Linked DNA regions of Canis lupus familiaris. The protein of the gene in region 1 binds, or shares a complex with, the protein of each later gene. Links are inferred from orthologs where the notes say so. Each region holds a gene or a part of one and is shown in the gene's direction. Other genes may lie near its edges.

The links. The genes of interacting proteins can lie anywhere in the genome.
Region 2: ODAD4 (region 1) and EFCAB1 share a complex: the UniProt entries of both Homo sapiens proteins name them as parts of the outer dynein arm-docking complex. The link is inferred for Canis lupus familiaris from reciprocal best matches to the Homo sapiens genes ODAD4 and CLXN.

Annotation. Positions count from the first base shown.
Region 1 is NC_049230.1:20,778,292-20,781,943, reverse strand, and holds part of ODAD4 (tetratricopeptide repeat protein 25), read left to right. Parts: intron 1-668; coding exon 669-865; intron 866-3,652. UniProt on the Homo sapiens protein: Component of the outer dynein arm-docking complex (ODA-DC) that mediates outer dynein arms (ODA) binding onto the doublet microtubule. Plays an essential role for the assembly of ODA-DC and for the docking of ODA in ciliary axoneme.
Region 2 is NC_049250.1:1,219,575-1,223,226, reverse strand, and holds part of EFCAB1 (EF-hand calcium-binding domain-containing protein 1), read left to right. Parts: intron 1-825; coding exon 826-984; intron 985-1,902; coding exon 1,903-2,007; intron 2,008-2,695; coding exon 2,696-2,847; intron 2,848-3,122; coding exon 3,123-3,227; intron 3,228-3,652. UniProt on the Homo sapiens protein: Component of the outer dynein arm-docking complex (ODA-DC) that mediates outer dynein arms (ODA) binding onto the doublet microtubule. Seems to regulate the assembly of both ODAs and their axonemal docking complex onto ciliary microtubules.

The DNA of each region.
Region 1 (3,652 bases):
GGCCAAGCCTGCACTGGGAGGGCTGGCTCCGCGGGCCCACTCACATAGCACCGAGAACAAATGTCCTCCGGGTGCCCAGCGCTGGATCAGATTAGGCTCATTTATGGGGATCCTTCTGTTCCACATAACTTGGTTTTCAGGATGGCCCCTGGTGTCTATGTGCCAAAAGACAGATGAGTTTAAGAATTCACTTACCCGTTCATTTCTTTTTGTAAGAAAATATAAGAAACTTATGCCTATTATTAGAATATTAATTTGGAAAATGCAGAAGAGTAGCAGAAAAATTATTCAGTTTCACCACTTAAAGACTAGATCTAACTCTAATCTCACTTTATTGATGTCTCATTTTTTCCCATTCTCATCTTTCCTGTGTGGCTTTTATCTCCTATATACTTAATAATACTCTTCAATGTTATTTTTATGTTATTTGAAATGCAAGTTTATAAACATTATTTTCAATTGTGGTATCAGATTCCATCTGTAAATGTACCAAAATGGCTTTGGTAGTTTTAAAATATCTGAATGCTTATTGGCTCTGCCCCCGTTCTGAAAGAACCGGTAGTTGGAGAACAGGTTCTATTCCACCACTGGCTAAGAATCCTCGGCCCACTGTGGCCGAGTAAACAGTTTGCGTGGAAAGAACTGACCCTGGTTTTTCATGTTCCCAGGTGGGAGGAGAAGATCCCTCTGGCAAAAACCACCCTGGAGAAGACCTGGTTGTTCCATGAGATCGGCCGCTGCTACTTGGAGCTGGACCAGGCCTGGCAGGCCCAGCATTATGGTGAGAAGTCCCAGCAGTGTGCTGAGGAAGAAGGGGACATCGAGTGGCAGCTGAACGCCAGCGTTCTGGTGGCACAGGCACAAGGTAGGGGCTCTGGAAGGATTACCCTTGCTTTCCCAGCTCTTAGGCCGAGTTGACATGCCAGGGCTGGGAACCCTTTACCCTCCCAGTGCATCCCCCACCAGCTGAATTTGGACTCTGAGAGTGGAGGATCAACCCTTCCATTTTAACCAGTGTGTGGTAAACACCTTCTTTAAGCTAAGCTCAGCGAGAGCCTGGGACACCCCAGAAGCTGCTGCTGAGGAGCCCAGCTGCAGATCTGCACAGCATTGTGTCATCATCAAAACAATGCTCATTTCCTCTGGCCTTGGTACCCTTCCCATGTGCACTCTTACACCTACTTACCATGTGAGCTAAGGATGAAGGTATGATTGTCCTCATTTTGCAGGTGAGGAAACTAAGGCACTGAGAGGTTCAGCTGATTGCCCCAGGTCACACGAGGGACCTTTTCAAAACGATGGAAATGTTCTGAAACTGGGTTGTGGGGATCATGGCACAACTCCATAAAGTTACTAAAAATCACTGAATTGTATACTTACAAATGGTGCATGTTATAATATCTAATTTTTTCTCAATAAAGTTGTAAAAAATAACCCAGCAAGGGATAGGGGTGAGCAGGAATAGATGAAACAGAGTTGGTGATATTTTGATAATTGTTGAAGGTGGATGATGAGTAGTAGGGGCTTGCTATACTCCATCTACATTTGTGTATATTTGAAATATTTCATAATACAAAGTAAAAAAGGAAACTGCTGAGGCCACAGGTTAGTAAGCAGTGAGGCTGGGACTAGAGTCCAGTTCCCTGACCCCAGTGTGCAGCGGACCCCAAGGGAGGGAGGCGATGTGGCAGGGACTGGAGTCAAGGGCATCATCATTCATTATTCTTAGCACAAATACTTCCTTGGCACTTTTGAGGCACCAAGTGGGGCATTCAGTGGGGATAACCATTGGTAACCATTTCCTGCCTTCATGTCTGAGGAAATCACTTTGAAGTAGAAACCTTAAGGATGCGGAACACCCTGCTGGCTCAGTGGTTCAGGGCATGATCCCAGAGTCTGGGGATTGAGTCCCACATCGGGCTCCCTGTAGGGAGCCTAATTCTCCCTCTGCCTGTGTCTCTGCCTCTCTTTCTCTGTGTTTCTCATGAATAAATACAATCTTAAAAAAAAAAAAAAGAAAGAAAGAAACCTTAAGGATGAGAAGGCACCAACTATTCTAAAAGCTGAGGACAGCGCTTTCCAGCCAAAGGAACAGTGTGTAGAAGGTGGGGAGGAGTTTGGTGGATTTAAGAAGCTGAGGGAGGCCAGTGTCAGCCCAGGCCCCTGGGGGCCCTGAAGGTCTGGATGGGGGAGGGTGATGAGGAGCCAGATCCGCAGGGCTTCATGGGCCTCTTTACAAATCAGAGATTCTTCCCTAAAAGCACAAGTAGAGACAGCCATTGGAAGTTTAAACTGGGGGAAGCTGTGAACACTGGTGCTTTCCCTAGAACCCTTTCCTGTTCTTAGGAGGACATCAAGTAAGCTGAGAGGGAAATGCAATGTACCCCTCAGGGTCGATGTTGTCCTCAGTCTGCTCCTTTTTTTTTTTATTTATTTATTTTTTTTTTATTTTTTTATTTTTTTATTTTTACTTATGATAGGCACACAGTGAGAGAGAGAGAGGCAGAGACACAGGCAGAGGGAGAAGCAGGCTCCATGTACCGGGAGCCCGACGTGGGATTCGATCCCGGATCTCCAGGATCACGCCCTGGGCCAAAGGCAGGCGCCAAACCGCTGCGCCACCCAGGGATCCCTGCTCCTTTTTTTTTAAGATTGATTTATTGGAGCACTTGGGTGGTACAGTCCCTTAAGCGTCCGACTTTTGGTTTCAGCTCAGGTCCTGATCTCAGAGGCCTGAGATTGAGCCCTGTGTCAGGCTCTGCTTTCAGCACAGAATTTGCTAAAGTTTCTCTCTCCCTCTTCTGCTGCCCCTCTCCACTGTGCACTTTCTCTCTCTCTCTCTCTAAAATAAATAAATAAATATTTAAAAATTACTTATTTATTTATTTTAGGGGAGGAGGAAACTTTAGCAGATTCCATGCTGAGCACTGAGCTCAACACAGGGCTCGACTCAGGCTCAGAAACCTTTGGCAGACACCTTGGGCAGTCAGTCAGCCAGTCAATGATTAGGTCCCAGCTCCAGCACTAACTAGGTGGGTGGGTGAGTGAGCTCGGACAGCTGCCACTTCCTCTCTGGGTTCAGCTTGTGCCAGTGTGGGGGCTAGATTCCAGCTGCTGGCCTGTGAGTCACATCCAGCCCTTTGGTATCTCTCTTGGCCTTCACAGCATGTTTGGGCAATTTGAATGAACAGTTTCAAAATATGGATGTCAGGACGCCTGGGTGGCGCAGTGGTTGAGTGTCTGCCTTTGGCTTGGGTTGTGATCCAGGGTCCTGGGATCGAGTCCCACATCAGGCTCCTCACTCCACGCAGGGAGCCTGCTTTTCCCTCTGCCTATGCCTCTGCCTCTCTCTCTGTGTCTCTCATGAATAAATAAAATCCTTATTTAAAAAAAATAAATAGGGGGCAGCGCCGGTGGCACAGTGGTTTAGTGCCTGCCTTCAGCCCAGGGCGTGATCCTGGAGACCGGGGGTCGAGTCCCGTGTCGGGCTCCCTGCTTGGAGCCTGCTTCTCCCTCTGCCTGTGTCTCTGCCTCTGTGTGTGTGTGTGTGTGTGTGTGTGTGTGTGTTTCTCATGAATAAATAAATACATCTTTAAAATAAATAAAATGAAATAATTAAATAAAATATGGATTTCCAGGAGCACCTGGGTGG
Region 2 (3,652 bases), on another chromosome or scaffold:
ATGGCAGGCAATAACACTTCCACCTATGTACCTCAAATGGGAATTGGAGCACAAATAATTAACTCAGCGGTTTTTTTGTTTTGTTTTGTTTTTGTTTTTGTTTTTTTTTAACTCAGCGTTTATAAACACTCTGTGCATTTATGTGTATGGGCCAGAATATATGTCCGTATATTTATTTTCAATAAAAATTCCCTTCCTCCAAAATACTAAATACCTACATGTTAATATTCACATCAGGTGCAATAAGAACCATAATGGGTGCTGGAATATGGTTAAATGCTTCTTTATTGGAAAATAGGTTTCTGATGTCCAAAATCTGGCTTACTGATTTAACTAAGGCTGATGTGAAGTTAAAATTGTTGCCTAGTGTTCAGGAGTCTGGTATCTATCTCCAGGCAAAAGCGTAGTTGTAAATATCATAAACGCCTATAAGCAAAGTTACCATTCTTAAGCGTTACCTTGCTTACTTTGGATTGCACCTCTACTGCCTTTAAAGTTTAGCATCTGACCTCATAATCGTTATTCAGGTAACTTGGCTATTATTCTTTTCTTCCTAAATGTGACTGAATTTAATATTCAACTCCTCTTTGGAGGAAATGCTCTAGAGAAAGAGAATATTTTAGAAGAGAAACCTCTGTAGTGGCCATCCTTTATTAATTTAGTTAATTTTATTAATTTAAGGGTCACGAATCTTAAAACAGGATAGTCTTCTGTTGAAAACTAATATTTGATGTCCTTGATGTTGTCTATAAACTCAATAATGCAAAATTTAAGTTAGAAATAAAGGTTTAAAATGCATTTTTGTTATATCTTATTTCTTCACAGTTAATAAATTTGAAGTGAAATGTCTTATAGATCTTTTTTATAATTTGATGGGAGAAGTAACAGAGCGGCAAGGTATCACCATTGGACTAGATCGCAATGCATTTCGAAACATCCTGCACATGACATTTGGAATGACAGACGATATGATTATGGACAGAGGTAAGAAGACATACAATATTCAAATAGGCCAGATCCAGCCATAACTGGGAAAAAAAATCTTGGAGTTTAGACATATTCTTGATAGGAAGCTTAATGTTCTTAATTCCCAATTTCACTTGAATATAAAAAATCAATTTGTATGTTAGGGAAGCGTCATAGTGAAGGTGACTCTACCCACTCTATTCTGTGTATTCAGGAAGAGGACAAAGTCCAGCTTGAATAATTAGATTTTCCTTACTTTATACCCAAAAACCTAAAATATTTCTATTTCTACTTCGTAAATATAATAATGAAAACAATGGTTTTAAAAGGACATATAGATTTCCTTATGTCATCAAAAATATTTCAGTAAATTTAAGTTATAACTTTATCATGTAATAGCATTAATTTTCTTGAGTAAGAAAAATATAAAATTACATATTTTATGTCAACATATCAACACATTTATTTTTTTTCTTTTTTTTTTTTAATTTTTATTTATTTATGATAGTTACAGAGAGAGAGAGGGAGAGGCAGAGACACAGGCAGAGGGAGAAGCAGGCTCCATGCACCAGGAGCCCGATGTGGGATTCGATCCCGGGTCTCCAGGATCACGCCCTGGGCCAAAGGCAGGCGCCAAACCGCTGCGCCACCAGGGATCCCTCAACACATTTAATATACAATATATCCACATATTAGTAATCATTGATTACTCAGAACTTACTTTGTTTCTACAAAATATGAAGAGAAAGTGTGAGAGTTTAAATAAAAGAGCTTTCCAATGTTATAATGTCTTAGTTTTCCTCCTTTGTCAAAAGAGAATGGTGGACCATCTTATCCTGGAGTTTTGTCCAAATTTTAAAAGTGAATAGAACCAGTGTAAATATATTACTGAGAACAAAAATTCAGCACAAGTATTATGTTGTGCTTCTTTCTTAGTATTCCGAGGTTTTGATGAGGACAACGATGGTTATGTAAACGTATCAGAGTGGATTTATGGATTATCAGTATTTCTTCGAGGAACTTTGGAAGAAAAAATGAAATGTAAGATTTCAGGTTGTCCTGAACTTTTTACATTAGGATTAATGTATCTAAAGAACTTATGTCCATTGTCTTCCAATGTGGCCATTGAAATAGGTTTGTCTTTCGGTTGGTTGGTTTGAATCCCCATTAGCCTCTTCTATGGAGCAAATTCAAGTCAGTTATAAAGATTGAAAGAAATAAATACAAAGGAAAATCAAGAGATTCTGAGGAGTAATTCATGTGAAGCAAGACTGCATAAGCATTAACTATATATACTATGACATATGCATTTATGTATTAAGGTATTAAATATTTTACATATTTCATTACCTGCATTGTTAACCATGGAAGTAGAGAATACTGATTCAAGTGCTCTGATTCTTAGTTAATTCTTAATTCATTCTGATGAACTCTGTGTAAGGATCATATTTCAGTCAGTTTTCTAAGAATTTTAAGATGAAATGGTCAAATCATTGTTCCTTGGCTTTCTTATTCATAGCTGAGTGAGCGTAAGGAGCCATTTTCTAAGGGTTGTTGACTATATTCAACAAATAGACATTAAACATTGGCCATGGAAATTAGATTGCACTAAGTCCTGCAGGGTTGACACGGACATCCACAATACAGACTTTGGCCTTGAAAATTTTATCAGAGCAAATGTTCCCTTAGTCATAGTATCAAATTCATAATTGGTTATTTTTTTTAAAAGATTGCTTTGAAGTGTTTGATTTGAATGGTGATGGATTCATTTCAAAGGAGGAAATGTTCCATATGTTGAAGAACAGCCTTCTCAAACAGCCATCTGAAGAAGACCCTGATGAAGGAATTAAAGATTTGGTTGAAATAACACTTAAAAAAATGGTAAATATGGGAAATGTAGGGTTTTATATTGACATTCATAGGCCAGAATGGGATAGAATTAAGAATTCAACTTGTAGTAACTATCAGTTACTTGTTTGGTGAAATAAAACACTTATATTGTGTTTTTTAATTATAAGATTAAAAATTCTTTTCAATTTCATTAGTTTCTCATTTTTCCAACGTCTTTCTTCTGTCAACACTTGACCATGAAAAGACAGGTTTGTTTGTGATAAGTGTTGTACATGTTGACTGATACATGGCTGGTCAACTCCTAGGACCATGACCATGATGGGAAGCTGTCTTTCACAGACTATGAACAGGCTGTGAGAGAAGAGACTCTTCTACTGGAAGCTTTTGGACCATGTCTACCTGATCCAAAGGTAATGACATTACTTTCATTGAACAGTGACCCATATATAATATAGGAAAAGCAACCCAGGACTTCTTGGTTTGGTGAGTGAAGTATCAGATGAATTACATTCACCCACAGAGAATAGCTTCTGAGTAAACCAACTGAAGAAGAACCTGCTGATTCATTTCATAGTAGTACTATAGCCTAATGCTATTTTTTCCCATTCACAAACTCATCCACTCATATAGAAAGCAATTCTTAAAGCATAATGTATTCCAGAAACACAGATGAAAGGCTCCATGTCTGCATTCAAGGGCTAATATTTTCCTGAGAAAAGCCAATGGGAAAATAAGTACACAACAGTGTGATAAGTATTACTGTAATAGTAAGGGCTTGTTCAGTGCTTCATCTATGCCAGGCAGTATTTTAAGTACTGCCCCATATTACTTCATT